Lonchura striata: one gene and its partners. The protein of the gene in region 4 interacts with the protein of the main gene of each other region in a biochemical or structural test. Links are inferred from orthologs where the notes say so. Each region holds a gene or a part of one and is shown on either strand. Other genes may lie near its edges.

Region 1 (7,696 bases), on a different chromosome or scaffold from region 4:
TGTAGTATTAGCCCTAATTTAACAAACCATACCTGTACAGTCTGTTTGTGCACAACTGCTGCATAAAGATGAACAGCAAGGTGTGATGGCTCTTCACAGTGGTAATCAGCCAATACAATGCACATTTTAATGCCAGAACAATGCCCACCTGTGGTTCCAGTTACTTTGAATTTAATAAATTAATATAAAGTAACTATAACTCAGGGTCCTTTGACAGGATATTGCAAGAGAACAGATCCATTTTTCATCTCCAGCCTCTCAGTGTCAATTTAATTGTAGTAATTGGCACGCATACACAGAGAGGAATCAAAACTAAGGTCAAATCCTGTTTCCAGGGGAGGATCTTCCCAGTTAGAAGTGAAGATCCCACCCAAGACTTGAGTCACAGCCTAGGAAACTGATGCTGGTGGAGAGGTGGCATGGACAGTCCCTGGTCACTGTGGCAGTGTTTCAGAGCAGCAATGCAAGTTCTGAGAAGAAAAGTTTTCTGGGTTTTGATTGTGTACAATAACCTGGTAGCCAGCAGAATTCCCTGTCATACATAGACTTTCACCCCCATAACACACAATTTACTGCAGAGTAAACAGTGCATGGGATAAACAGGTACAGAGAAATAATGTACTTTGTTATATATGGAGGAAAACAGCAGCCATGTATTCCATGTACGACCTTGTAATAAGGGCTTGTAGAGGCAGAATTCTCATTTATTCTCATAAGAAACACATTATCTATTCCTTTTGATAACAAGCCTCCTTGCAGACACTTCTCCCACTTACACTGAGCTATGTGTAACAATGACAGAGTATCTTCTTCATCATCATCATCACTGGCATTTTTTAAATCTCACTCTCTAAAAACACCATTGGTAAATGGTATTCTGCCATGGTTCCAAAGTTTCCTTGCGGGGAATTTAACTGCCATCAGTACATTTGCTTCCAGAAAACACATCCTGTATCTATTAAGACCAGAACAGAAATGCACCCCAGTCAAAAGACGCAAGATGATTCCAACTGGACTGTTCCAACCCCCATTGGCAGTCCCATTCTTTTCCCATAAAGAGTAAATTTTAAAAATTATTTCTCAGAAGCTGCAAAATGCTGTCTCTACACAACACAAATAAGCATCATGTACTTAGAATAATTTTTGACCCCTACAAGCATTCAAAAGAATTTTATGATCATTTACTAATCTATTAATACATAATTAAAACTTGGGACTGAAACTTTTAACTGACTGGCTCTTGCTTTCAGTATTAGTAATGGACGACAAGTGTCCTCCCCACTGAGTTACCAACTTTCTTGCCCATGATTATTAAGCAACACAAACATGTCTATGAAAATCTCACATCTGCTTTACACCATTCTCCAGTTCAACAACTATTTCATTATTACCACTTATTTTATTTTATTAATTACCCCATATCAAACCAGAACTTGACTCCTAGGAAATCAAGTGAATCTTAAATCTTCTGCTCTTCCTTAGTCTTAAAGACAGAAAAACCCCACTTCTAAAGAAGTTTAAAGGAGATGATGTGGTGGGGATGATGTGGTTAGGATGGACTGTTTTCAGCAACAAAGCTCTATCCTAGCTCACAGACTGTCACTCCAAGAAGCTGAACAGCAATCCCTATGGCCCCCATCCTTCAAGGCTGAAAGGATGTTCTATTTCACCAGGGACAGGCGCAGACGCAGCAAGATGACAGCGTGCAGATCACCTCCCCTCTGTCTTGTCTACATCCGAGTCCTTGTAACCGGAGGATTCTTCTTCCTCTCCATCAGAGGGATTGGATTTCTCATGAGCCACTTCCAAACAACGCCACCAGCTGAGCAACGTTGCCCCCGCTCTCCCGAGAGCGCATCCACGCTCCAGGAAACGGCAGATACCGAGTTGGGAACGATTTTATTAAAACTCAAGGCACAGTTTTGATACAAATAAGCTTCAAAAGTAAGATATTATACTCTAAAGGCAATTCCTTGCTGCAACGAAACAGCTTACAGCCGACATTGAGAATGCTGGATGACTACACAAATTACCCATTTTAAAAACTATATTTTACACCACAAATTATGCTGACCCCTCCGGATGCTGTTGGCATTTCAAACTAAAATCCTAATTCTTCAAGAATTCCACAGGATTGCAGCTATTGCGGTTTGTGGTTCGGCTTTTTTCCCTCCCGCTGTCAGGGGCAGCTCAGCCGCAGTGGCCCCGGCCCCGCGGGGCGGCGGAGGAGCCGGGCTGGGCCGGGCCTGCCGGGGCCGTCCCGGGGACAGGAGCACCGCGTCCCGCGGGAGGGGATGCGCCTCGCCCGGTCCCGCCCCCGCCCTCCGCTTCTAGAAGGAACCGGCGACCGATGCCCCGGGGCGCCCGCCGCCCCCCCCGCCTCCTTTTGAACCAGGTCCACCGCGGGGGAGCGGGCAGTCGGTCGAAGGTCTGCGAGAGGCGGCCGAGGCCGCAGCCCTGAGCCGCCCCCGCCACCGCCTCGGCCCTCCCACTGCCCTGCACTGGGGCCCCCGCCCGTGGCCAAAACAGTCGCGAGGCGGCGGCGCTCACCTCCTCGGCCTGCTTGCGCAGCGCCTTCTCCCGCTCGTACTGCGTGAGCAGCTGCTCGTTGTCCTCCCGCAGCAGCTCCAGCTCCACCTCGTGCTCCTGGTTGTCGGTGAGCACCGAGTCTAGGTTCTCCAGCACCGTCACCACCAGCGGCATCAGCTCCTTCACCACCTCCTCGTCGTAGCAGTGGATCAGTCGCTCGAACTCGCGGTAGATGCTGTTGGCGAGGCCCGAGACCCGCTCCGACATCACCGACCCCGAGCAGTAATCATCGCCCGGATACCCCCCCACGCCGCCATCGTCTAGCTGGATCTCCAGCATCCTGCCGGCCGACAGCCCTCAACCCCGCTCCGCTCGCCTCCGCTTCGGGCCCTGCTGACACCGCCACCGGGCGCTGCCCCGCCCCGCACGCCGCGTCAAGGTCCGCGGGCACCGGCCGGGGCGGAGCGCGGCGGCACCGCCCAGAGCCGCTAGATCGGGGACGCAAGCTGCCCGTGCTGGGAGGAGGCGGGGCGCCGCAGTGCTTCTTGCGCCGGAGCCGCGGGCGGCGCAGCTCGCGGCCCGTCGCGAGCCCCGCGCAGACAAAGCGCTGCGCACCGGGGCCCCGCGAGGCGCGATGGGGGCGCACGAGGCCCCGCGCTGCGGCGTCACGCGCAGACACCGAGCGGGGGCCAGCGCGGGCCCGGGTCGCGCCGCATCCCGGACACGCGCTGGCTCCGGGAGCCGCGTTAGAGACCCGTCACAGCCGCGGTAGTCGTATTTCCGAGATGAAGCAGCCGTAGTTACTACAGAGAAAGCAGACAAGGATCTGTTCAGTCAGGGATGAAGAAAAAGCCAGAGGGCCAAATATGGCCATCTCAAGTCTTCAAAGAAAATTCAGCACAACCACCGAATTTAATCAGATTTCCCAAATCAACAGCAACACACACCAAATTACGGACAGCAGCTCCAGCAAATTATGGGCGGTAGCCTCCAGCACCCTCAACAGGTGTCACAGAAGTTAGAGTCTGCCACATCCTGGGCTCAGCTGGGCTGTAGAGTTGGAAGAAGACAGCAGGAATCATTATTCTCTGAGAACTGAGAACAGCCTGGCAGGAGAAAGAAATAAGGGGTTGATTTGGAAAAGGCTTCCCACACCTTCATTTGGCTTAGAGCCCTGAAGAGTGTAATTCCAAGGTCGTGACTAGCAATGACCCTAAAAGCTTCATACTGCAAAAAGGGAAAGAACTTTAACCCTACCCAGAAAGCCTAATTGCAGTGGGAATATCACATCTCACTTATAATTAAGAATTTTAAGTTTTATGACTGTTTTGTTCTATGTTACAACAAACACAAGAGTGTGCTTTATTAAATGCAAGATTGCATTGAAAATATTTTGAATAAAAATATACAGGTGAACAGGGAGAGAAGCAAGGCAGGCAAAGAGGTAAGACTTATTCACTGATTCACTAATTCACTAATTCCATATTACACTGAACTTCTAATCTTCTGTAACCTAGAGAGCATGTAAAAACATTTATAAAGTTTTCTTGCATTTTTCCCGCATACATAAGAAACTGACACAATGGACATGACACAAACTAAAGCCTGTTGAACCACAGAGACTGATGAGCTCATAGCATTACCCACTCTTCTGATTGTAATCCCAACAGGTCTAGCAGGCATCCCTGAGGGGAGGGGATATCAGTTGAAGTGCATCCTCCTTTCTACAACAGAATCCTGGTTCAGGTCCAGTGACTGTGTTAAAGCTCCTGCTGAAAGGCAGTGATTGCCTTAACTTAAATCAATCACTAAAAGATACATTCCTGTATTTATAAATTCATAAATAACTTCAAGTCTAGAGATCAGTCAAGAAATGGCAGGAATGCTAGGTGCTGCCATGCATGAGAAAAAATTAAAATACCACTTCCAGGTCAAAGTTGGCAAGCAAAATATTTGCTTATTCTACCCTTTTGGGGGTTTATTGCATCTAGCATAGGAGTTCAAGTTGTTATTTGCTTAGCACTAAAAGCAAACTAAAAACTGACTGTGCTATACATATGCAATTGTGTTATGGCTGCAAGGGCACTTTGCTGAAGAGCTTACCTTTCCAAGTAGGCAAAGTAAAGGCACAAGGAGTGAGAAATTGATAGAAACACTGAGACTATGAAAGGAAAATCAGGATTCTTTTGCAATAACCATATGACCTCAAATTAACTATTGGGGATTTTTTTTCCCTTAGACAGGTGGAACTTCGCTTTGTGAAAGAATAAGTATTTTTTAGGTATCTTGGTTTGAAAGACAGGTGTCTGCCAAGGAATGTGGGAACTTCTCTTGGAAGAGAAAATGTGACTCCCTTCCCTCCAAATTATTATAACTCTGAAATTATGGGTCTTTTGGGAAAAGATAGGATAAAAGGAATAGCGTGTCTTTACTAGTAGATATATAGATATAAATATAGATATATATGTATAACAAGGCAAACAAACATCAACAATGGCAGCAGCAACAACAAACAAAATACCAGAAACCCAATCACAGCCTTGTCTCAGCCGCAGACACCCTCCCCTTTGGTGCAGTTCTGCTCACAGCCGGCAGGGGCACTGGTGGCTCCTGGCCTGGCAGTGCGCATGCAGTGATTCCCCCCGGCTGCAGGGGGCGCCGTGGCGCAAGGTCAGCCGCTTCTCCACACGGTGATGGAAATTCAGCCGGGAGGGCGGAGAGAAAAGGGGCTCTGTTTACAAACCCACAGGGGAAGCCAGTCCTGGTGCCCGTCCAGATGGAGAAATGGGCTGTAGCAGGAATCTCGGAGCGCTGGCTAGAACGGCTGAAGTTCGTCACCCAGGGTGACAAAAAAAATGTAGCAGAAAACTGCAGCCTTTAGCAGGAGCTGCAATAGTTGGGTGGACACAGTGTGTTGGGTAAGGGTGTAGCACGAAAGCCCAAGGCAGTGGCAGAAAGCAGTGGGCTGGGCAGCAGCAGCTGGGCTTCTCCATAGCAGTTGCCACACATACCCAGGAGACACACCCTCAGGATTCCAGGGGTCCTGGGTTTTCCCTGGTGGCACCCTAGTAGATGGTGATGATCCTTTCCAGTCAGATCAGGCATTACTAAGGTTCCAGCTCAATGGCTGCTCTTAGGAGCAGATGCTCACCCACAGTAAGGAAGAAAGCAGTGTTAGAAATGAGACACATGACTCAGCCAATATATCAAGCAGCAATTCAAATTATTAATTAATATGGTAACGTATGAGCAAACACAGCGCAGGGTACAGTGGTGGGGGTTTTCCCCTCCCACTGCACACTGGTTGTTGGTCTTGCTGGTATTTATTGATCATAGTAATGCAGATTCATAAGCTTTTCCCAGTTTCTACATGAGCTTTCAACAGTTTCCGTTTCTACCTTTAACATCACAATTCTATACCTCATCATCAACATGATGGTGATATTTGGTTCTTTTCCAATTTCTATAACCTATTGTGTATATCCCAGTATGTGTGTCCAGATGGTGGGGTCCAACTTCTATTTTTGGGGATCATTAATCTATGGTAGTGATGTCCAACTTCCCATTTTGAAATCATCTATCAGCAACCTTGATGTCCATCTTCCTTCTCCAGGAGCTTGGGATAGGGTCCCTTCCCTTTCTGTTTAAATTATTTATATTCTAAAGCTACAGCTTAAAAATCCTTAGTACTCAGCAACATTCTAAAGTTATAATTCAAAAGCTCTTATTACAAAACAGGTTAAGAGTTATACATTCTAAAGCTACAGTTTAATAACTTTAATACTAAGCAACATTCTAAAGTTATAATTCAAAAGTTCTTATCGCAAAACAGCTCAAGACTGTTATATGTAGTCAGTGTAATTCGTTCCAGTATAATATGATAAGTGTAATATTTTATATTGTTGGAAGTACACATGCTGGCACTGGGAGGTGCCCCCACATATTCGAAAACCGGTTTCTGACAAAACCTCATTTGCAAACTAATACATGGGGTTCACCCACAGATGGGTCGTTTCTCAAGGTGATACAGGAACGCCCAGGTGCTGATCATCCAGCAACCATCTATTCTAGATCGGGATCACTGAAATCCTCCTGGTTGATACATCTGAATGCCGTGTTCCCGTAACTCCATCAAGAAGATTCATCAGCACTGGACACCGAATTGTTCCATCCCAACACAGAGGAAAGAGACTTTATGAATATGTGGGACTTTGAATGTGAAGAAAAGACGGATTGCCTGCTTGTACCAGGAGGGTGGTGTGTGGGCATCGGGGAAACCTCTGCTGAGGCTATCTGCTCTGTGACACACCCAGTCCCGATCCCGGGCTCGGCACTGTCTGTTTCCTTGTGGCTGGCTGAGAGATAATTCGATCTTAATAATACAATTTTTATTTTTTAATTTTTAATTTGGCTGGATCAATTTTTATCTATAACAAGACTTATAATTGTTATTTGCAAACAAAAAACTGGTTCAAAAGCCTTCTTTCATGCTTTCCTCGGTTGTTTATTAGAACTCATCTTTATAATTGTCTCATGGCCTTCTTCCACACATTTCGTAACCACAACTGCACAGGTTGCCTTTATGTGCCTGTCATGAAACACAACTTTGTATTTCACAGCAGTAACAGGTTGGACTCCACACGGCGGCAGCAGCTCGACTGTTCCCCTCTGATCCTGAGAGCAAGAGAAGAGCCAAGCCCTGTGGAGTTGTGTTTTTATATGCTTTATTACATCTTTATTCTGTCATGGTTTGTTCCAGTGTACCCCCATACTGTATTGGTTTCTCCCTGAGTTTTCCTGCCTTTCCCCAAGTGTCGGTTTCCCTGGAAGGTGCCGAGTCAGTCCCCTGCCCTTTCCCAAGTGCCTTGTCTGTCAGTCGGTGCCCCTTCCCCTACCTCTGGAAACTTCCATCCAGGGCACCGAGTGATTGGATGAGGGCCTGGGACCCCTCCCCTGTCTCCCCCTCACTGGATCCCCCCATGTCCATCCCCACAGAGTCACTCCTGTCTGTTCCCCACTGGCTGATCGGCCCCCCTCCCTCTCCCTATGGAACATGTTGCCAGCACTCCTCAGTAGCTCTTGTTGGCTGGCCCCCTCCGGTGCTGTTGGATCCACAGGACCTCAATAAACATCGGATTTTTGCCCCAACAAGTGCCTCTCCTCATTT
Region 2 (7,966 bases), on a different chromosome or scaffold from region 4:
GTGATCCAGGGGTATACATAAAGGCTTGGGAATGGCCCAGGGGGTCCCAGGTGTCCCAGAGGTCATTCAGGAATCCACAGGGATGTCCCGGGCATCCCAGGACTGATCCAGGAGTGACCAGGGCAGGTTCCAGGCATCCTGGGAGCGATCTAGGGATGCCCAGGTGGTTTCTGGGCATTATGGGGGTCACCCATAGGGTGGGAACATCCCAGGGCTGATCTAGGGTACCCAGGGGATGTTCCAGGCATCCCAGGGGTGACCCAGGGGTGCCCAGGGGGTTCCCGGGCATCCTTGGACTGAACCAGGGTTGCCCAGGGCGGGTCCCAGATGTCCCCAGGCAGGTCAGGAGCTCACGGCAGCCCCTTCCTTGCCTGGGACTCAAAAAGGCAGAGTGTCCATGAAGATCTTGTCAACGATGGGTGGCGGCGGCACCAGATCCTCCAGCTTGAGGTAGAAAATGCGCTGGAGGCCCTGGGTGCAGAGGCTGCGCAGCTCGGGCAGCTTCCCCAGCAGCTTGGAGAGGCAGCTGGAGCGGCCGGGCTCGGCGCCTGCTGCCGCCACGTGGTCCTTGAGGCAGCCCACGATGCGGTTCTGCAGCTCCTCCACCCGCTTGGGCTCCTTCAGGCCGTGCCGGTCTGGGGGGACACACAGGCTGTGGGACCGCGGGGACAGACACCGGCTGCGGGTGGGGACGGGCCGGGCCCGGAGCTGGGTTTGGGTCTCACCTGTGATGATGACGAGGGCGGCAAGGCAGGAGAAGGAGGGGACGTCGACGCTCATGCGGTGCAGGCTCTGGGAGAACTCGAGGATGGCGTCGATCCACTCCCCGAAGCCGCGCACGCACTGCTGCCGGTGCAGCACCACGCCGTTGCAGAAGATGAGTTTCCCTTCCTCCGGCTTGGAGCTGGCAGCACAAAGCCGGGCGTCACCCCTGGGCACGGCTCGGGTTCCCCCTGCTCCGCGCTGCCCCGGGGCTCACCGGTATGCCAGGCGCAGGATGAAGAGCTCCAGGAAGGCCGACTCCAGCAGGAGGTCCTGGTCGTCCTTGGGCAGCTCGGTGAAGCCCTGGATCTTCTCGGCCCACTTGCGGATGACGTCCATGGAGCCGGTGAGCAGGTCATAGAACTGCTGCACATCCACCGAGTCCTCCTTCTCAAACGGGCACGGGGCTGACTCCTGGAACTGGGACAGGATGAGTCAGGAATTGGGGGATGGGTCAGGATTGGGAGAGGATGGGTCAGGATTGGGATGGGGATGGATCAGGAATTGGGATGGGGATGGGTCAGGAATTGGGATGGTCAGGACCTGGGACAGAGGTGGATCAGGAATTGGGATGGGGGTGGGTCAGGACCTAGGATGGGAACAAGTCAGGAACTGCTGGGCTAACAACAGGGATGAGTTTGAATCAGGAACTGGGACGGGGACAGGATCAGGATTGGGATGGAGACAGGATCAGGATTGGGATGGGGATGGATGAGGAACTGGGATGGGGATGGGTCAGGACCCAGCCCCAGCCCTGGCACGGCCCTGGGCGGGGCATGGAGTGGCACCAGCCCTACCTTGGAGTAGTCGAGCTTGGTGGCACTGGGGATGGAGTCAATGTGTGCCCGCACCAGCGAGGTGATGAGGCTGACCGGGGACGTGTCCGGCGGCTGCTTGGGCTTGGAGGGGAGCCGGCCCCGCCGCCCCTTCAGGCTGTCGGTCCGGACCACTGCGGTTGGAACTTGCAGTGAGTGTGTGCCCTCAGTGCAGCCAGAGAGGCTGCAGAGAGGGGACTCCCCGCTCCTGCTGGGTGCCCCCACCCGGGACGGGACCCTGCTACCTTCTTTGACCATGCCGACGGCCAGGCACTTCTGGAAGCGGCAGAACTGGCAGCGGTTCCTGCGCCGCTTGTCCACAGGGCAGTCCTTGTTGGCCAGGCAGATGTACTTGGCATTCTTCTGCACTGTGCGCTGCGGGTGGGGAAGGAGCGGCCGAGCTCAGCCCGGGGCGCTGAGCTCCGAACAAAAGCCCTTCTGTCCTCCCCTGCCTCCCTCTCCAGCCCAGCATCCGGCTCCGTGTCCGTGGGGAGGGCTCGGCGGCCGTGCTCCCTGCCCTGCCCCTCCCCGGGACACCCCGCAGCATCCTCCTGCCGCCGCAAAGCACTGTGGGAGTATCCCGGCGGCAGCCACGGCCCGGGGGTTCCCCTTACCTTGAAGAAGCCCTTGCAGCCCTCGCAGGTGCGCACGCCGTAGTGCTGGCAGGACGCGTTGTCCCCGCAGACGGCGCAGCGGCCCTCGCCCGCCCCGGGGCTGCGCACCTTGCTGGGCGCCAGCGCCGGCCCCTCCAGCAGCGCCGCGGCGGGGGCCAGGGGCAGCCCCCCGAAACCCCTGGCAGGCCCCTGGGCCGGGGGGAAGGCGTCCGTGTCCAGCAGCCGCGGGTCCACGCGGGGCGAGGCGCCAAGCTGCCCCTTCAGGGCGGCAGGGGACCCACCGGGGCTGGGGGCCGGGGGGCCGAAGGCGAAGAAAGGCGGCTGCGACCCCCCGCCCTTGGCCGGCTCGGCCCAGGGCTGCCCACCCTCGTAGTTCGGCAGCGGCGAGTACGGCCCGAAGGAGCCCTCCCAGCCCGGCGCCTGCGGGGGCTGGAAGCCCGGCGTGGCGGGCGAGGGGATGGAGCAGGGGCTCCCGTAGCAGTCCGAGCCGCTGGAGGACAGGGTCTCGTCCGGCTGCCCCCCGAAGGCGCTGGGGTAGCAGCCGTACACCTGGAAGTCCTCCAGCTTGAAGGCGGCGGCGGCGGCGGCGCTGGACTGGCCGCTCGCCGGCAGCTGGTAGAGGAAGGCGTCGAACTCGCCGGCGTAGCCCTCCATGAAGGTGCTGAAGCTGGGCAGGGCGGGGGCGGCCGCCAGGTCGGCTCCGGCCACTTCCATGGGGAATCGGCCGCCCTCGGGGCTCAGCAGCTCGGCCGGGCAGCGCTCGCAGGGGCCGGCGCCCGTGGTGCTGCACTGCGCCTGGATGCAGGGCATCTCTGCGGGGAGAGAGGGGCGTCAGCGGCGCCCCGACACCGCCCCCCGGCATCCAGGCAGAGGATGGAGACACGGTGGGGAGCGTGGGATGCTCCCCTCGTGCTGGAATTGCACCTCCATAGCCACTGGCTGCGTGGTGGCGGCCACCGCTGTCCCTGAGAAAGGTCACGGCACAGCCAATGGGTGCAAAGGACATTCCCCAAAACGCTGGCTTAGCAAAAGCCCCCGAAAGGGAAGGAGGGAGGAATGTGGCCAGCAGATTCCCAAGCCCTAGGGCTGGCCAAGGGAGCCAGAGTTGGGGCTGAACTGGGTTCTGGGGATCTCACTTCCCCCGTAACCCCTTTTGGGGCTTTTTGGGAAAATTGGTGCAGGCAGCCCTCCAGGTGAGGGGGAGAGGAGCCCACCCTCAGTCCCTGGAGCCCCCCGGGGCTGTGCGTGGAGCTGGTGGGACATAAGACAAGCGGAGTCCTGTGTCCAGCTGAAAGCCAAGCCAGAAGTGACCCCAATGGCAAGACGATAATGTAATTCATCTCGCAGACCTTTAAAGGTCACGCTGCACTGGCCCCCGGCCACGTCCTGGCACGGCCCTGCTGCCAGAGCCCCCGGATTCCCCCAGCCAAATCTGGGCAGCTCTCTCGGGCACCAAGAAAGCCGACACCCGCCAGGAGCTGGGTTTAAAAATATCCAGCGTGGGTCCAGCTCTGGTACCCACGGGATGGCACCAGCCCCCAGCCCCCTGCTGGTGGTCGCAGTGGAGTTTGTGCGTGTCCAGCTGGGTTCAGAGGGAACAGTGACCCCCCAGCTGCCTTCTGTCCCTGAATGAAGCCGAGGGGACTGTGCTGGGCACACGCCCTGGGGGACACGGTCTGTGCCAGTGGGAGTTTTCCTTGCCTGCATGAAAACCCTGGCAAATGCAACGCCTCGACCCTTCCCGTGCTCCCGGTTGTTTGAAGGTTTTGGCTCTCACCCGCTCGCTGAGAGCATTTGGGGTCCCTTCTGCCCTGTCCCCCCCCAGGGACCGGGCACAGATTCCCGCAGCAGCCTCGGCGCTGCCCACGGCCGGGCTCTGTCTGCAGATTCCTGGTTTGGGAGCGCGGGGCAGCCGCCCGTGCCCAGCCCCGGGGCTGCCGCCTGCACGGGCGGGTGGCAGCCGCTGGCACCGGGCCCCGGGCCGCGGGCGGGCGAGAGCAGCCGGTGGCACCGGGGGCGGCTCACGCTGCCCACGGCCCTGCCGGCACCTGCTGCCCGGTAATGCCGCAGCGGCTGCTGCCAGGCCCGCGGGGGCAGCGGGGGGTTTGCCCGCACGGGGCTGGCTGCGGGCACATCCCTGCTCGCAGTGCCCGGCGCTGCCCGCGTGCTCCTGCCTGCCCCGCTGCTGCCCTCTCCGGTTCCGTGACCGCTCTGCTCGGGGATCCCGGGGTGATGCCCGGTGTGGGGTGGCTCTGCCCCTGAGACGGGGCTTTCCTGCATCTGCAGCTGGCCCCGGTTAGGCTGCCGTGATGGGGGAACCAGCCCCCGCTCCCGCATGGCCCAACTAGCGGCTCCCGGTCCTGCGCAGCTCCTCACGGAGGAGAGGGTGGTGCCGGGCTCTTCCCGGGACCCCCGGCACCGGGACCTCTCGCTCTGCCAACTCCCGCCGGCTGCGGGATTCCCGGGTTTTCCCGGTGCTACCGGTGCCGCTGGGACGCCCGATCCCGTGCACCTCCCAGCGCCACGCGGGACGCCCGACTCGGCTCCTCCCGGTGTCACCGGATACCCACAAGGGGCAATCCCGCATAGCGCACGCAGCCCGGTCCCTTCCACCGGGACCCCCGACTCTCCCCGGTGGCACCGGGAGTCCCTTCCACCGCGTCCTTCGGACACGCGAGCCCCGGCTCCACGGGGACGCGCGACCCGGTTGCCCGGGGCGCTACTGGGACACCCGACCACATCCATCCACTTTGCAGGACGCCCACCGCCCTGAGCCGCCGGTGCCACCGGGATGCCCGACCCGGATCCTCTTGGCGCCACCTGCCACGCCCGATCTGAACCCCTCCGGTGCCGCCCCGGACAACGGCTCCTACTCCCCCGGTGCCACCGGGACACCCCACGCCGCTGCGCTCAGCCCGCCCCCGCTGCCAGCACGACCCCCTGCCCCCGGTGCCCCCCACCCGCTCCCCGCATCCCGGTGCCGCCCGTACCCGGGTGCCGGCGCGGCGGCGCTCCGGTTCCTGCTCCTGCCACCGCCGCTCCGCGGGCTCCGCCGGGCTCCGGCCCCGCCACTACTTTCTCTTAAGCGCTCGGTGACGCGCGGGGCGGCGCGGGGCCGGTGACGCACGGGGGGGGCGGCCCCGGCGGGGGCGCGGCCGTGACGCACGCGGGGTTCCATTGACGCACCCGCGGCCCCGGCTAAAAATACCCCCGCGGCCCCGGCTAAAAATAGCCCGGGCGCCCCTCGCTTCCCCACATATCCCCCCGGGGCACCGGGGGCCGCCGGCGGGGGGAGGGAGGCCCCGGTGTCAGGGGTATCCCCGGTGTCCTCGCAGCCGGTGGCTCCTCGGTATGCACGGTGTCTCCTCGCTGCTGCGAACCCGGGGCTGGCGTCCCCCGCTGCCTCTAGCCCCGGCCCTCTCTCGCTGCCGGTATTTCCGGTGTCCCCTCCTTGCTGGTACTCCGCTGCGCCCACCCTCGGTGCCCCCTCGGTGCTGGCATCATTTTAGTGCCCAGCCTCGGTAGGCTCTCGGTGTCGGTATCCCCGGTGTCCCTTCGTTGCCGGTACCACCATTCTCGGTGCCCTCGAGGCGCCAGGATCTCTGGTGCCATTATCCCCGGTGTCCCCTCGGTGTTGGCATCCCCGGAGCCCCCTCGGTGCCGGTATCTTCACTGCCCCATTCCCGGTGTCCCCCCGCCGCCGTTCTCCCCGGTGATCTCCCGTACCCCCGGTGCCGCTATGCCCAGTGCCCATGCGGGTATCTCCGGTGCTCAGCGGCGCCGGTACCCCCGGGCTCCTCCCGCTCGGTGCCGGGTGCGGGGGGAGTGCCGCGGGGTCCCGCCCCCGCCCGGTCCCCGCGGGGAGCCCCTGGCCGGGGCGATGGAAAGAGCGGCGGCTGCTGGCGGGCGCCGGCGCCGGGAACAGCGCCCGCGGGCTGGAAAGATGAGCTCAGCCGGTGCGGAGCCGGCCCGGGCCCGCGGGAGGGCGGACGGTGAGCGGAAGGGACCCACAAGCCCGCAGCACCCTCCGGTGCCACGCCGGTACCCCCTCAGTACCCTCCGGTACCATCCCGGTACCCTCCGGTACGGCTCCAGCACCTCCCGCGATACCCTCCAGTACCATCCCGGTACCCTCCGGTACGACTCCAGCACCTCCCGCGATACCCTCCGGTAGCACCGCGGAGCTTCTGAGCCGCTACCCTCCGATACTACCCCGGTACTCCCTTGGGATCTCCTGCTACCGACCCGGTACACGTCGGTACCGGCTCCGTCCCGTCCCTCGCCGTACCCGCCGGTTTCCATTCCCAGGGACAAACCGGGGGTCTGGGGGCACCCGGCCCGCCGTGCCCGGGCTGGCAGCGCCCCCGGGGGTGACAGCTCCCCCGTTAGTGCCCCTGCAGCGGCAGCGGCCCCGGTACGGTTCCACCGCGGGGCCGGGCCGGTGCCCCGGTGTCCCGGCAGCCGCTGCCGGCATCGGGGGTGCTGCCGGGACCTCCGGTACCGGGACCCTGCATGGCCTCACGAAATCCCCGGCCCCGTGAGCAGCAGCCGGGGCGGGGGCAGCCCGGCACCAGAGGGGTCCGGAGGTGGCGGCACGGGGGTACCGGAGGTGGCGGCCCGGGACCGGGAGCCGTTCCCTCGCTCCGGCGCCGCTTCTGGCTGTCGCCCGCCCCCGACGGGATTCCGTGACATCACACCTGCCCGCTGACGTCACACCGGTCACTGACGTCTTGGGGATCCCGCGGCACCACCGGGGCCGCCCCCAGAGGGATCCCCCGGGCCCGGCGGGACCTGCCGAGGGGCAGGGCCGGTGCCAGCCCGGGGATTCGGCCACGAGTCCTCGGGACACGTCAGACAGGAGGGTCGCAGAGCTGCCGGGGGTCCCAAAGCCACCGGGGGTCGCAGCCCCCCGCATCCCTGGCTTGGTGGCGGCGGTACCGGAGGCAGGAGGGTGGCAGCGGCAGCCCCCGCAGCCGGGATTAGCTGTACCCCGGGAGAGGTCGCGGGCACCGCGATGGCTTCGGGGGAGGAAACCCGAGCCCAGCCACCCTGGCAAGGCCACGGGGGTGCAGCGGGGGGACCCCTGTTCACAGCAGCCCCAGGGATCCCCCCTGACACCCAGGTGGGGACACGGGGACAGGATGACCGCCAGGCAGCCCCAGGGTGGGCGCTGGGATTTGCAGGGTGCCCGTGCCCGGGCGCTGATCAGCCGGGGCTCACGGCTACCCCTGGCTCCCTGCCCCGGGCCTATCTTTATCGGTAATGACAGGCGGTTCCGGGGCGTTCCCGGTCTGTACCCCGCAGCCTCGGCTCAGCCGGTGCCACGCGTGACCCCGGTGTCCCACGGCCATCTGCCCATTCCCGGGCGCACGCAGCCCCAGGTCGGGGCTATAAAAAGCTCAGCGTGGGGTGGCAGCTGCCACGGGGGGTGCCGTGGTGACTCTGACGGGAACGGGATGCTCCGACCCGGGCAGCACGCGGGAGGACACCGGGAGCCGCCGGGGCTGCGGGGCCAGACCATAAATGTCCAGCACGGAGCTGCCCTGGAACGGGGACAAGGCAGGAGAGTGTGGGGGAGCCAGCTGAGCCCCCACCCCCCGCTCCACGGCACGCACAGACACCCGCAGTTCTCACCCCCAGACCTCCAGAGGCTCTCCCGGGGGGGACGGGGAGGGCAAGGGGAGAATTGGGGTCCCCAGACATGCAACAGCCCGGCCAAAGGGGGAAACTGAGGCAGAGCAGAGGGCTGGGGGCTCTCGGTGCTCCACGGAGCGC
Region 3 (7,209 bases), on a different chromosome or scaffold from region 4:
TTGATTGCTCCTCAAGTTTTGCTGACTGGCCCATGACACAATGCCTCAGACCAATTGACCTCCCTCATCTGTCCTGCCCCCTCCTTCTACTCTCCCACTGTCCACCTTCAGCACCTATGAGTCCAGTTTTACATGGACTAAAACAGGGCTGCTAAGCTAAAAGAGAAGTATCCCCTGCTGGACCTCTGCTCTTTGGGTTATAAATACTCAGAATAAGCACTGGGGGAAATTCTTTGTCTGCACAGCCAGACACCAGGAAGCACATTTCCTCCTCCTTCCACTTCTCACCCCTCCTGCTACTCAAGGACAACATCCAGAGAAAAGCAAGCATCTCTCTGCTACCAGCTCCATGATTTGTCCATGGAAGGCATTTGCTTTGCCACTGGTAACTTGAAGCACACAGGACTTCCTAGAGATAAATAGATGCTTTCAAGATGCCACTATCAGCAGAGAGCACACACTGCAAAGCAAACCAACACACTGTGTCTGGGCAATGAGAAGAATTACCTTTAAGGACTAGGGGCTCCTTGCCTTCTCGCTTGAGTGACTCCAGCACTATGTGGAGTGGCTGGGAAGGCATCACCCTGCTTGGCTCATTGGTATTCTCATCATAAACTACGATTTCTTTGGAAAAGATTCTCTTGAAGGAGTCCTTGCCTTCCCGGCAGGAGATCAAGTCCAAGACGGTGATCTTGCCCTGCTGGAGCCTTCTCCGGCTGATCTTGTCAGAACAGTTAATGTGGACAGCCCCTTGAATGTGGCTCTTATTATACTCCATGAAGGGCCTGCAGTCAATGATGACAGGCCCTTGGTTCTGTTGGTGGCTCTTGCTGCATTTGGTCATCTTCTTGGCCAGATCATTGGGGTAGATGATTTTGATGCTGGCGAGTTGCTTGGCGCTGCCCGAGACAGGGCTCCCCACTCCGCCCAGCGGGCTCAGGCTGCCGGCGTTCTCATTGCTGTTGACCATTTGGTTGGCAGGGCAGGCGGGGGAGGCTCCGGCGTGGGTGCTGCTGGTGCTCGCTTGAGTTTGGGCCTGAGTGTCCTTGTCGTACGTTGCCACAGTGCAGCAACTGGCACTGCTGCATCCACAACTCAGGGAGCGTGCAGAGCCGTTGGATGAGGGCATATACGTGAGATTAGCAGTCTTTAGGGACACGACAGCTGCGCCGAGCAGACTGGAGTGGCTCTCACCAGCAGAAGAGGCAGATTCAAGGAAGCTAGAGTCTAAACACAGGTTGAGATCCTGAGGTCTCACTGGCCTCGAAAGTGCCACTACTACCCTGTCGTCTAAAGGAGATGGAGGCATGAGGAGGCTGAGCACTAGCAAGTTAAGAAGAACTCAAGATCACCCTGAAAAAGGAAAAGAAGGGAAAGAAGAAAAAAGGTGATGAAAACAGATCATGAAATCACGTAAACCTACAGATCCAACAACTTATTTTGCCGACACCCATTATCCCTAACCTAACAACCCCTTCTGACAGTTACCAGCTCACAGTAGCTGCTAAAAGCCCTTTTCAGGGCTGCAGAGAATACTTCAGCTATCTGCATGTGCGCCCATGGCACACAGAACCCACATGAGCAGCCTGGACTGTACAGTGACACCCAGGGATGGCATTTAGCTACATGCAGACGGTACTGAGCTATTCTGAAACCCCAGGCTGCAAGGCTCACCACTGATAATGACAAGAGGCACGTTCCCTTATCCCGTTGCTCACTGAAAAGGAAGCAACTACTGGGCTGAGTCTACTACAGGGAGGAACGTGTAAGAGCTGAATAGCTGAATGTGTCAGGGGTGATATGCAACTTTTCCAGCAGGCTGGAATAAAATTAGCCTGTGAATAAATTTTCTGAGACAGTTACAAACTTGAACACGTAAGGCTAAACAAAAAAATACCCAGAAGAAAACAAAAAAATTAGTTTTGAGAGATCCTTTTAAGCGTGCACCTTGCACTTCCCTCCCCCTGTCAGAGGTGAATCCAGTCTCAGTTAAACCCCTAGTTCCAGGCTCGGGAAAGCTGCTGTTCTCCAGCAGTTCGTGAGGCAAGTTCCCTGCTTTCCAATACATTTCACAGCTTCTTCAAAGAGTGGTCCCCTCTGCCCCAGTCAAGGTCACTGCCTGCCCCACCTTTGACTTCCCATTTGCTAGGACGCAGCATGCAGGATTAGAATCCCCCCTCGGCAGTCAAGGAAGACCGCAAAGAGGAAAATATCCGAAGCCGGCCCTGACAGCCCTCCACCAGCAACTTCGGGAGCAGCCGCAGCTCCCTCTGAAAAACCCATCCCAGCACCAACTTCACCAACTCCACCAAGCCCCGCAGCGGGGCGAGCACTCGCAGCTCCCGTTTGCCGCCCCGGCTGGCTCTGCACCGGGCCGGTCAGGAGATGCCCATCCCGAACAGGGGGCGGCCGGGGGGCACCGCCACCGCCAGCAGCCACCGCTCTGCGGAACGAACCCGCGGAACGAACCCGCGGAACGAACCCGCGGCACCTCCGGAGCGCACAAAGCGCCGGGGCACGGCGGAGGCGCCGCGGCCGGCGGAGCGGGGCCAGCGGCGGCTCGCTCGGGAGGCTTTCCCAGCCCGTTCTTTTCCCAACCCGCCCCTCGCCCTATTTTAGGCTCAGAACTAGGATAAGGACGCCCCGAGCGCCTTCGCCTGACGCAGTTAAAATTTTAAAATAAACGAGGGAGGCAACCCAGTTCCCCCAGCGAGGGAAAACAACGAAAGAGCCCGCGAAAAGCGGGAAACTGAAGTTTTGCTCCCGAGCGCGGGGAGCCGGGGCTGCCGCCCATCGCGCGGCGGGCCGGGCCGGGCCGGCGCTCCCCGCCGCGGCAGCCCCTGCGCGGGCTCCCGCGGCCGCGGGCCCCCGCTCCGCGCCGTGCCCCCGCTCAGCGGCCCGGCTGTCCCGCACTCACCGGCGCGTCGCGGTCCGGCCCGGTGCGCGGAGGTGGCGGCGGCCGCCGCGGGAGGAGCCGCTGGAGCCGCTGCGAGTCGCGCCCGCTGCCCCGCGCGCCGCCCGCCCCGCGCTCCGCGCGCCGCCCGCACCATCCTCGTTACTTTCCCTTTTGCTACCGCGTAAATGTACGGCCCGGCGGGGGCGGGGCCCGCAACGACGGGCGGCCGCGCCGGCCAATCGCAGCGCGGGGGGCGGCCCGGAGGCGGGGCGGTGACGTAATCGGCAGCCAATGGGGAGGGCGCGGCGACGGCCCCGCGCCCCGGGGCAGCCGCTGCTCCCCGCGGACGGGCGGGGGCGGCCCCGCGGCAGCGCCCCCACAGCGCGGGCAGAGCCCCCTCAGGACGGGCAGAGCCCCCTCAGGGCGGGCAGCAACCCCCGGCAGCACGAGCAGAGCCCGGGAGCGCCCCGCGTCCGGCCGCGGCACCAGCCACGGGGCCCAGCAGAGCGTCGGCCCCGCTCCCGGAGCGCGGCGGCACCGGGCAGTGCTGCCCGTCCGCCCCAGCCCCGCCGCGGGAGGCTCGGCAGTGGACGAGCGGCGCCAACCCGAGAGGATGCTGCTCAGCGGCTTTTCCAAGCAGTCCTTCCCTGTCAGAAAGGAGCCCGCACGAGGTACTTGGGAGCAGGAAAAGCCAGCAGACACATCTCCTCCTGGGTCAGTCCATCACGCATCAAGCCAGCAAGGCAGAAACAGGGAAAGTGGCATCTCCAGAATGATGCTCCCTACCAATCCACCTGACCACGGGAGCACTGGAGAGTTTCATCTAGAGCCCAGCACTGAGCTACAGCAGGAAGGGTAAAGTTGGAGCAGATAAGAACAAGCCCACACTTAATTTCTTGAGAGTAGAACAGTCATTTCCCCACCCAAAATCAGTAAATCACAGGGAGGGCAGGAGATGTGTCCTACACTGCTCAGAGACAGCCAGGCCTGGAGGTCCCTGCCTGCCTGACCCCCAGATGCTCCGTGCTATGGAAACTCAGAACCCAGCTTTGGCACATTCTCCAGTAAAGATCCTGAATGTTCAGATTAGACTGGGCTCTCCCCCAGTCTAGTCAGTGCAAAAAGGAAAGCAGCACACTTTGGAGCACAAGATTTTAAGGATAAGCATGAATCCCTTTCATCCTTTCTGTCAGAGGCTGACATGGGCAAAGTAATGAGCTCTCACCCTTCCTATGTGAGCACTACAAGGTGAGAACTGATTTTCAAGCCACAGGGATCAGCTCATCACACACACTAGAAGAGTACCTGGCAGCAGCATGGGATTTCTGCACCCCTTCCTTCCTCACTGTGCAACCTGTTTACACATTTCCTGGTTCAGCAACCACATTTCATCATGTACCAGTCCATCAATCCACCAAGTCAGCAACAGGGAAAGCGGCATCTCCAGAGCAATGCATCCTCCCGTGTCCTTCCTAACCATGGGAGTGACAAAGTGTTTCACCTACAGCCGGGAATGCCAACCAAGCTTTGGGCTACAGGAGGAAAGATGAAGTTAGAGCTGGTAAGAAGTTGTCAGCATGATAAGATTGAATCTAAATTAGCCCCCAGCCCTCAAAGATTTTGGTTCTGGGATGTATGTGGATAATTAATTTTTCAACTGGGATTTTCTAGTTGTAACCACCAATCCAACTGGGTCTATTGCAAAAAAAAAAAAAAAAAAAAAAAAAAAAAAAAAAAAAAGTATATAAAATGCAGTGATATCATCATCCAGCAACTCAGTTTAAAAAAAATTTGAAAAAAGAGAGCAAGATTTTAGAAGCACTGAAGACTTGATTTTTTTTTTTTTTTTTTATTAATAGTTCTAAGGTAAACAGCAAATCCTTTTCCTCACAGCCATTCTTTCAAAAATCAGTCGCTTCCCCTAAATGTTCCTTGTAGGACAGCAACTCATCCAGCACAAACTCAGGCTTTTGGTTTCCAGTGTTGTGATACCACAGCAGAGCACCAGTTCCCCTGCACACTGGGATGGAAGGGAAAGTGGGGGAAGGCTCTCACTTGTAACAGCTTCCCCTCCAGCACTCTGCTTCCACTGAGAGCAAATGTGGGGAAAGACTTTGAGCAATTAAGTCATAGAGTGACTTCACCCAGCAAAGACCACAGTCTGGAGGTATTACCTTCTGAATAAAATATTAATAAAATATAAGTCCCCATGCTACCCAGCATAAATGCAAACCAGGCTTTAACAGTGCAGTGCAATTGCTGCAAAAACAGCTGCCCTGCCCAGCGATGGGGCAAACAGCTCAATGGAGAAATGCACAGGTCTCACTCGGACTCCACAAACAAACACTGGTCAGTTACCCAGAGGTGCCACTGTCAGATGCCACTGGAGCATTTCCGCGTTCTCTATTCCTCTTTGTCCATGGCTTGCTGAGGATGGCACTGGGATCACAGTACAGGAGGGGTGCTTCCCTCAAAACCTCCCTTTCAGGCCACACTTTGGCTTGGGGAAGGAGCTCCTCATGGGCTTGTGTTCTGTTCACCACCTGAAATGGCACCTTCCACCCAGGCAGCTGGAAACCGTGTTCCTGTTTGTGCATCTCCCAAAGCTAGACATCTCCTAAGGCAAATATTTGTTAGAAAACACTTGCAATCATTGATTTTACTTTCTGACCAAACTTCTCAGTACTGTACTAAAAAATGTGCACCAAGAAAATATTTTGTGACTTGCTTATGGAAGAGTTCTTCTCACAGGAGATCTGTGCAGAGGTTACTCACAGTGAGCAATGCTCCCTTCTGAAGGATATTCAACCTCTGCCAAGTTTTTTTACAATACAAAGAGAGGCCAAATGTTATTTTCTTTCATATTTTACTTAACTTTTTATTTTTCTAAGATTGTTGACGGTAAGTTGCTATTCCACCCCAGTTTCAGAGGATTTCCTACACAACTTTGCTGACTTCATGCTTAATAAATTTTATTAGCCTATGACATAAGATTGGCCTTTTTCCTGCTCTCAGAAACCACAGCCCGCTATGACTTTTTTTTCTGAGCCTATTCAATGAACAGCTTTCTAAATGCTTTTGCTCTCTGTAATTCAACACCCAAAACAGACAAGACTTATCTGTTCCCTAAAAACTAAACTTCTATTCTCTAAAAAGCACACAAGGATTCTTATTATGAAAGCTGGCACATCTTAGTTGAATTCCCACTTCCACCAGTAGCAGCACATGGGATTTTGACATTTATTTTCTTCAAATGCTTTTGCCACCATGGTGCACTTGCTCAGACATTTGAAGAAAACCACAAGCAGACAAAGTGAAATTATCTCAGAATTTAAGCAAATCGTCACAAACTCTCACCGTATACTAATTGCATAAAATCCAGTCAGAACTGTTCAACCTCACTAAAAGGGTAAAGATTGCTAAAAGCACACGCTGAATATTTAACAGATGTGAAAAAGAAGCCATCACAATTCTTGCCAATAGCACAGACACCCCTTAAGTGCTCTCCAGCTCAACTTATTGAAACCTATTTCAATCTTATTGACAGACTTCTTGCACATCAATCACTCTTCCACTCTACAATCAGGGACCTTTTATCTTGTTTAGGATTAGAAAAAGACCCAGAATATAATTACCTTCATCAACACAGCCATATACAGCACCTTCCCTGCACCAAAGTAGGGAAGAAGGTGTGCTGTCCTATCCCCTGAACATTCAAATCTCTGGAGTCATGCATGAAATAAGAATTTCACCTGTTGTACATATGACTGCAGAATGGGGCACTCCAATGTTGGCTGCTCTCTGGGGTAGCATTATTCTGGTTTTAGGGGCACAGTAACAACCAGAGCCAGGAGTTCACAGTAACAGGTTGTGTGTAAAGACAACAAAGGACAGATACTTGTCCCTCCTGAGAATGTCATTTGAACAGAGCAATGCAAGTTCCCAATTTTACCAGCAGAAATGGGAAGCAAGAGGCTGAGTGACTTCTCTAAAGTAACACAACAGCTTACACAGTGGAGCAGAAAATTGGGAAACTGGGGAAAACAAAGGTGCTAACCAGCACAGTATTTCAACTGCAAACCTGTAACTTGCACTTACTTCATCAGATATCACATGAAGTGGCTAAAAGAAAATGTCCTTGGGGGCTAGACTGAACATCTATGTGTTCACTACTTAAATTTGCCCATTTGTTTTTTTAAGCAATCTTTGATTCTTGTAAGGTTTTACTACATCACATGGCACCTTTGTTTGTCCTTGCTAGAAATGTCAGTTCACTACATAGGCAAAGCTGAGAAACACTGTTAGCCATTTTG
Region 4 (7,846 bases):
AATTGACATCTGAGCCTGCTTTGATAATAGATATCTATATCTATATCTATATCTATATCTATATCTATATCTATATATTATTATATTTATATAGAATAAATAACGTAATAAATACATAATATTCTACTATGTAGAATAAATAAATAATGTTCACCTACTCTTGGTTTGGCTCCAAGTCCAAAAAACCTGGGCCCTGAACGATCCATACAAAGCAGATGCAGGAATTCCACATTTACTCTGTACCAGTGTGTCCTGCCAGATGCCACAGGCCTCCCAGAATAGCTGCCCCCAGCTGTGTCTCCCCCAGGCAGGGAATCAGCATTAGTCCCCTGTGACTGAAACAGCTGGGAAACTGCTGCACAGACACTGTGGAAGGATGGATTTTATGATCTTAGAGGTCTTTTTTAACCTTACTAATGATATAATTTATGAAGGGAAAAATCTATTGAAAAGGTATTAATAGTCATCACTTTCCCTGTCAAGGCATTCTGCCAGAGTCCTTATTTGTCCACATTCAGATTTTGGATGTGGTCTAGCCTTGCTGTCACATTAAAGTGCTGTCACACCTTATGTGTTCTGTAGTGGTTATGTGAAACCATGTATATAATGTATAATTTTCATTTGCATTTCCATCTCAGTCCTTATACTGATTTTTCTCACTTGTGTCAGTCATGTCCAGCCCTGCACTGCCACTGTACTGGAGAGTTACAGGAAACCCAGGGTCACGAGCAGTAAAGACCTCTGCTCTGTCATGAGGATTAGCCTCATTTCAGCCATGGAATGGACAGCAGCCCTGTAGACATTGGCAAAGAAAAGTGAGGATTGTACAACTGATACTAAGTCCTTTTCAATAGCCAGGGAAACACCCCTGCTGCCAAACAAGAATTTTCTAGACTGGGTGTTAGCACAGTGCAGCTTCCAAACAAAGAGATGCAAGTACTGTCAGTCTCTAGGCATCACAAAGCCCAGAATCCCATAGTTAAGCACCATGTAATCCCTACAGACATCCCATTTAAATTGGGTTCTTGACCCAGTTAAACAGGAGTTTCTTCTTTTAACCATGACACGAGTAATTCAGGCCCACAGGAAATGCTCAATTTAGATCAACTCCCAATTAAATGTGTCCTAAGTAAACAGTTTGAACTTCCTGATAAATCAGCCATGATAATCTGGGCAATATGAGATACCCCAGTACACCTGTAAAACTGCAACAAGAGAGATCTACAAGCAGATTGCGGGATAGTGGCTGCTTTTGTCAAGAAAGAAGTCTCTGTCTACTTGTCTAACTACACACACACATATTTGTGTATGTGTTCACCAACATCTATATATGCATCATATATCTAACAGTTATATGAGTAACAGAGGATTTATTTACTGAGTACTTCACAGTAATTTCCATGCCTCTGACTAAAACTCTAGATATGATCTTAATGTACTTGATTTAAAATCATGCTGCCAAGAATAAGTTCACCTCCTCTGCTGAAGGACGAACTCTGTTCTCCAAATTTCCAGCAAGCTGCTTCCCATAGAACTTCAAGAACTTTAAACCCCACTCCTGGCTGTAAGCATCTGCAACTGAATGTCTACCACAGTCACCATTCTATTACAAGTACCATTACAGCAGTGGAGTTGAAATTACTTTGGAAATCACGTTTCCCATGTAGGAGTACAACCAACACAAAAATTAGTGATGGGTTTACTATCTATAAAGCTTACTTATATCATCATGCTCATTCTGTAGGAAGCCAAATTAACATAACTTACATCTCACAAAGTGAAGCTTGTAAACAAGGCTCTGGTCTATATCTAAAGAAGACACAACTGTAAAATCTGGCACATCTCACCTAACAGGAGTAATAACAGGAAGTGTTTTCCACAGTAAAAGAAAGCCTTCTTAATAATGAATTTTGGATTTTGAGGAGAGGAGAGGAGAGGAGAGGAGAGGAGAGGAGAGGAGAGGAGAGGAGACTCAATAATCATCTAGTCCAACTGCCTGAGCATTTCAGAGTTGACCAAAAGTTAAAGGATGTTATTAAGGTCATCTCCAAATGACTCTTAATAACTGACAGGCTTGGACCAGTGACCATCTCTTAGGTGGCCTGTTCCAGTGTTTGGCCCCCTCTTAAGGGAAAAAATGGTTCCTAACATCTCTGAACTCCACGTACTGTAGTTTTGAACTGCTCCCATGTTCCCTGTTATTGGATACTAGGCAGAAGAGATGAGAAACTACTCTAGTTAATTTTTGAAAAATTTTTAGAAATTCCTTGAATAGTTGCCTGATGTAAATCTTCAATGTGCAAAAGAAAATGATAAAACTTTAGGATAATGGAAAAGCTTCTATGTGTCTTTAGCATTTGCTGAAAAAATGTAATTAACAAAAATCCACCTCAATAAAACCCCTCCCGAACAACATAATCATTTCTTGTTCAAAGCTACAGTACAGAGACAGCTTTCTGATCTGAGGTTTCACACACCTTTTTCTTAATTAAATTAAAAAATCCCTCAGTTCCCTAGGACATTAATTTATCCTAATGAATTAGTATTCAAATAATTTAATTCCCATTTCTGGAAAAATTCTGAATAATGTAACAACAAACGTTAAGGCTTTCTGAAGCTTTTTTCTTGAGAAAATAATAAATGAGGAACTTTCTTCATCCTGTAGAATTCCCAGAAGGGAATGGGGCTGCACTTTTTGCCTGTCGGCTTCACCAAACTTAAACCAGCTGCATTTGGCTCACCAAATGAAGGAAAGAAACAAACCTGACTCTATTGAATCAAAGCAGAGTTTAGATTTATTTATAACGGAGAGTTATAAATAAATCTAGAGTTATACTCCTGTTAAATTTTTCTTTTTTTGTAAAGAGACATTAAGGAGCTTATAACAGACATTGTCCTGGACTTCATCATATTCAGTAGTTACTGTACCTTAAGATCTCTGCCCCCAGGTCACTGTTGTGTTGACTGCATGTTAGATCTTTTTCTCACATTTCCTTTGAAGGTCGGTGAGTGCTGTAGAAGAAATCCCGGGTGGAACTGCGAAGAACAGCCGACAGAACCTGATAAGCTTGGGATCCACCTTCTCTGTGTCCACAAAGGACTCCTCAGCAGCTGCCGCATCACAGAAATGTTTGTTCCACAGGAAGGAAAAGGTGAATGACGAAAAACATATAAGCTGATTTCAAAATGTAAATATCACTAAAGAGAAGCCTCTCATCTAATTTTTGTTTGACAATGATGTGCATATTAGCTACTGAGTCATCTTATTAGATGAGTATTCTAAATTGACAGACTCCAAATTAGGCATGATCCAGTTATGCTGTCAGAACCGAAGGCAGTGAAAGCAATTGTCTGTAAGGACTAAGCAAAAGCTCATAATTGAACCCTCTCTGACCTACATATGTGATTTCTGCCAGCATCAAGCACCATATGGACTGTTTTCCCCAACCACTTCGACAGCAGTTTCAGAACAGCAAAAACTTTACAGAGACAGTGTACCCAAATGCCTGCCAGCCAGTGATGCTCAAAGGACTTAAATTTCTTTTTACAGTGCATGTCTGGACAGAAAGCATAGGCTGACAGTGAATGGGCCCAGACAGTAGTTCTCCTAACTGACTTTTTCTACTTTCTAAGTTGTAGTAGGACTCTGTTAAATGGAAAGGACAAAGTTTCTTTCAAAGGTATGCTGTTTTGCAGTCTTTTCCGGTTTGCAAAAATTCAGAAATAACTTATTCACAGAAAACTCCACCATGATCCTTCATATGGAGTTTTCTGTTGTGGAACAAGAAGGGACAGGTTTCAGGCTGATGAACCCTTTCACCTCTTCCCAGTCCAGAAGCTCAGCAGTGACCAGTGACAAATATTTGGTCAAGAGCTTCACTTAGATACTTTGGAAAATTATATTTCCTCATATGAATTTTATATTATATTTATTTTATACATTATATTTATATGATTTAAATGTTGTGATTATGGTTTTTGTGGGGATAATAACAGCCTTTCACAGGAGTTCAGCAACTGTTACAACACAGTGCTACTCCCTCTTTAATGTGATGCAAAACTGCATTGTCTGTTGGTAAGACCATACTGCTATGAAATTTCTTTCTTTTTTTTTTTAAGTATCTAAATGGGTCAAGTTACTAAGTCACGGTGAATGGCTGGAAGGATTCACATCTTATTATTTGAAGACATTTAATTATTCTGTCTGCTTAAGGGATCTAAAAGCATAGATGTATCTGATAAAAACCCAATATATACAACTAGTTGAGATGGATACTCAGCAAGGAAAAAAGAGCTTAAAACTGTTGAAGTTATTTGCAATTAAAACAAAAGAATACAATGTCTAATAATAAGAACCATCAGTCAGCCTTTATTATGGGGAAGAAAGCAGCTCTGCATTTCAGTCTAGTTCTTAGGGAAGTTGGGCTTAAGCAATCACAGTGGTGTGTTTGTATGTTTCTGTGTCTGTGACTGTCCTCAAAGTAATTTGGGAATCAAATGAGAAAAGGTCTCAGAATAAATTGTTTCTATAAGTGTCATGAAAATAGATACCTTGCAAAGGAAATGGATTTTGATTAAGTACCTTTACAGAAGAAAAGGCTTCCACATGAGCTTAGCCCTACTTAGACCCTGGAGAGTCTACAAAGGAGAGACACCAAAGAGAGAGAAGTCACCAGTCAGCATTTGCACCTTATTCAACACTGAAGTCAATTAGGTCCAGCATACAGATCAATAGAAATGGGTTTCATTGATACTTGTGTTTGGGATCTTCATTCCATTAAGAAGACTTACAAAATTTCTAAATTGCCTCCTTGCAGTTTTCAGGTCCAGAATTTATTATTTTGTCAAGTGAACCACCAGTGACCTTACAGCTGCCTGGATCAATTGTGGTAAGAATGAACATTAAGGATTTTGAACAAATCCAGTGACATTTCAGTCAGGGCTCTTTGTAAATAGCACCTGAGTCTCAAGCCAGTATTCTCTCCATGTCCTCCTCTCAAAACAAGTTAGGGTTCCTTGCAGAGATATTGAGACTTGAAAGGGTGTCCATTAATTCTTAGTGCTATTTAGTTATTTCTGTTGGTGTAAAAAAAAGCTTGATTTATCCTTCTCAGCTAAGAATGTTCACTTTAGCCCTAGACCTTTGAGACAAAGACTGTGTAGTAAATCTGCAATATGACATCTAGTTCCAATGCATGGGACTTCTCCAGCTTGCAAGCAGATACTTTACCTTTCATCAAGGTAAGGTAGAAAGATGACAGCAGATAGCTGTAAAAATGAGAGCAAAACAAATTTGGAAGTAGCACCAAATCTAGAATAACTCTGGCACCTGGAGAATTTGAGTATGCTCATCTGTTTTGTTGTGATTCTTTTGGTTTTAAGGAAATAAGAAAAGTTTGTGATATTAATTTATGAGAAGGGAGGCAGAGATTAGCATGGTGTTGTGACCAATTCCATCAGTTGCATAGAGACAGGCTACTAGTGGGCCTCAATATAAAATGCTGTGGAACTTGCATTGCTTGTACTTGGCACTCATTCTTCATTCTTTCTTGCATGTTCTTAGACTAAAAAAGGGAAATCCTATTTGTCCCAAAGGGATCTCAATGTGATTCTACTCAATGGCCAGTGCCTTGAGGTGCAATGTGATATCAAGACCAAGGCAAGAGATGTTTTCAACACTGTGGTGGCATATGCAAACTTGGTGGAGCATTTCTACTTTGGCTTGGCTTACCTGAAAGGTAACGAGACAGTTATTTATATATGAGACAATGCCTCTGTAGTCACTTTATCAATGAATTCCAGTAAGAATTAATCAAGGAATCATTCAAGAATGCATCAAATAATCATTCATCAAGAATTAATTCAAAGATCCTTTAAGATCCTTGGGTAGAAGCAGACACAAAGCTTGTGCAAAAGTAAGGTATGTTGGTTTAAACTGCATTGCACTGGTGTAAAGCATGTCTGCCCTAGGACTGTGCACAGCACAGCCATACAACATTTACTCACTGATATTCCCAGGCAGAAAAGGCTGTATCCCAGCCTTGCACTCAAATAACACTGAGCCATGCAGGTCCAGCAGAAATTCCAGGAAGCATTGCACTGGGAAAGGCTGCCTGTGTTTATTCCTAGATATAAGTGGGAGTACAGGTTCAGCTGTGTCATCTACCAGACCCACATCTCCCTGGTCCCCTTCTGATGGCAGGCACAGCTGAGGCACTGGGAAAGAGCACACCTTGTGTGTGGGCATGAGGATTACAAAGGGGTGCAGAACCTGAGTGGTGAGAAGAATGCAAGCTCCATGAGTCCTTGAGTGATTTCTCAGATACCATACTAATCCAGCATCTAACATTTGTAATCCAAAATTACATACTGTCCTAAGTTCTACATCAAAGGAGCAATAACTAAAATTTGAGAAGTTAAAGCTGAGAACTAAATCTTAGCTGACATCCCCAATCCAATTTATTTTTTATTGCTAGTGATGCACTCTATGAAGACAGCAGAACTATGCTGCTGAAGTATATCCAGGTTTATCACAGAACCCAAAATTCTCATTTCAGGTAAAGAATTCTTCTTTTTGGATGAGGAGACCAAACTCTACAAAGTGGCTCCAGACGGCTGGAATGACCAACCCAAGAAGAAAATGTCCATCATTAATTTCACACTTTTTCTAAGGATAAAATTTTTTGTCAACCACTTTAATGTTATTCAGTAAGTGCAAAATTCTGCTGACTGAAGGAAAACTGGTAGCATTTAGGGATACCATTCAAAGCTCCTCCTGAGTTCCTAAACCCTTTTCTATTCCAGGCATGGCTTGACAAGGCACCAGTTTTACCTGCAGCTTCGTAAAGATATTTTGGAGGAGCGATTATATTGCAGTGATGAGACTGCCCTGAAACTCGGCGCTTTGGCTTTACAGGCAGAGCTTGGCAATTATGCTTCTGAGGTGTGGAGAAATAATACAGTATTTCTCAGAGGTCTCTCTCTACAACTTTTGCAGCTTTTGTCACATAGAGTTTAAAGAAGAAATGTGAATAGCAAAGAACTTCAGTTAAGTCCTCCAGATAAGTCCTTCAGACTTAATTTTAAAAATTACAAAATATTCCTGATTATGGAGTAGTAATGAGCCAGGTGAATTTGCCAGGAAATATGGCAGAATGATGAGAGAGTCTAGGTCCTTCATTGATAATATAGCCTAGAAACTCTAGAAAATCTGTAGAAAGTTTCCAACACAGGCCCAGCTTGGATGTGTGGAGGGGCTTAAAGAGATTAGTAAAGAGGGAAGAGAAAAGCAAATGAACGCTTCAGAATTCACAGCTGTCTTATGTGTAGGCTCAGATCCACAAGCTGCAAAGACAGGGAGGTCTCTGATTGTATATCTGAACTGGCTGTCCTAGTTTTCAAGTGCATATAAAACACCCATTTATGTTGCTTCCATAACTTCAGCTATGTAAATCAGGGTAGCTCTGTTAATTGAACTCGGAGTGGTCTAATCCATGTGGTCAGATCAATCATGGCAATGGGTCCCCCACTGTAGGTTGTACTGATGCAGCTGTAGCTGTCAGCTCTAAGGGCAGGACACGCCTGTAGGCCCAGATCCTTCCTCTCCTCTGCCCAAAGAAGTGATGTGTGCTTTGAGCAGCTGCCTGAGCACAGGGGCAAGAGGCAATTTGGCTGTCAGGACACTGCGTGCTGTCCCCAGTTTCCTTTGGGAAATGGCAGCAGGGTGACTTCTGCATATGGGTCACCCTGAAAATGGAATGCGATGAATAAGAAAAGTCAAGAAAGAACAAAAGGCTCCTGTCTCTTTGTTTTTCCCCCACAGATGCATGGAAAGAGCTATTTTCGT

The links.
Region 1: the proteins of MAPK8 (region 4) and MAPK8IP3 form a complex in vitro, tested with the Homo sapiens proteins (3 studies listed by BioGRID, with this or other methods). The link is inferred for Lonchura striata from reciprocal best matches to the Homo sapiens genes MAPK8 and MAPK8IP3.
Region 2: of the proteins of MAPK8 (region 4) and NR4A1, one has a biochemical effect on the other in vitro, tested with the Homo sapiens proteins (2 studies listed by BioGRID). The link is inferred for Lonchura striata from reciprocal best matches to the Homo sapiens genes MAPK8 and NR4A1.
Region 3: the proteins of MAPK8 (region 4) and DUSP10 form a complex in vitro, tested with the Homo sapiens proteins (2 studies listed by BioGRID, with this or other methods). The link is inferred for Lonchura striata from reciprocal best matches to the Homo sapiens genes MAPK8 and DUSP10.

Annotation. Positions count from the first base shown.
Region 1 is NC_134618.1:1,663,383-1,671,078, forward strand, and holds the start of MAPK8IP3 (C-Jun-amino-terminal kinase-interacting protein 3), read right to left. Parts: upstream 3,002-7,696; 5' UTR 2,869-3,001; coding exon 2,551-2,868; intron 1-2,550.
Region 2 is NC_134629.1:6,183,561-6,191,526, forward strand, and holds the start of NR4A1 (nuclear receptor subfamily 4immunitygroup A member 1), read right to left. Parts: upstream 3,004-7,966; 5' UTR 3,002-3,003; coding exon 2,192-3,001; intron 1,953-2,191; coding exon 1,823-1,952; intron 1,712-1,822; coding exon 1,560-1,711; intron 1,183-1,559; coding exon 980-1,182; intron 905-979; coding exon 726-904; intron 636-725; coding exon 379-635; 3' UTR 1-378. UniProt on the Homo sapiens protein: Orphan nuclear receptor. Binds the NGFI-B response element (NBRE) 5'-AAAGGTCA-3'. Binds 9-cis-retinoic acid outside of its ligand-binding (NR LBD) domain.
Region 3 is NC_134605.1:8,119,765-8,126,973, reverse strand, and holds the start of DUSP10 (dual specificity protein phosphatase 10), read right to left. Parts: upstream 3,011-7,209; 5' UTR 2,918-3,010; intron 1,354-2,917; 5' UTR 1,310-1,353; coding exon 508-1,309; intron 1-507. UniProt on the Homo sapiens protein: Protein phosphatase involved in the inactivation of MAP kinases. Has a specificity for the MAPK11/MAPK12/MAPK13/MAPK14 subfamily. It preferably dephosphorylates p38.
Region 4 is NC_134609.1:14,838,206-14,846,051, reverse strand, and holds the start of MAPK8 (mitogen-activated protein kinase 8), read right to left. Parts: upstream 3,015-7,846; 5' UTR 2,929-3,014; intron 1-2,928. Other genes in the region: FRMPD2 (FERM and PDZ domain-containing protein 2), read left to right, coding at 3,739-3,866, 4,818-4,889, 5,564-5,738, 6,558-6,708, 6,805-6,943, 7,823-7,846. UniProt on the Homo sapiens protein: Serine/threonine-protein kinase involved in various processes such as cell proliferation, differentiation, migration, transformation and programmed cell death.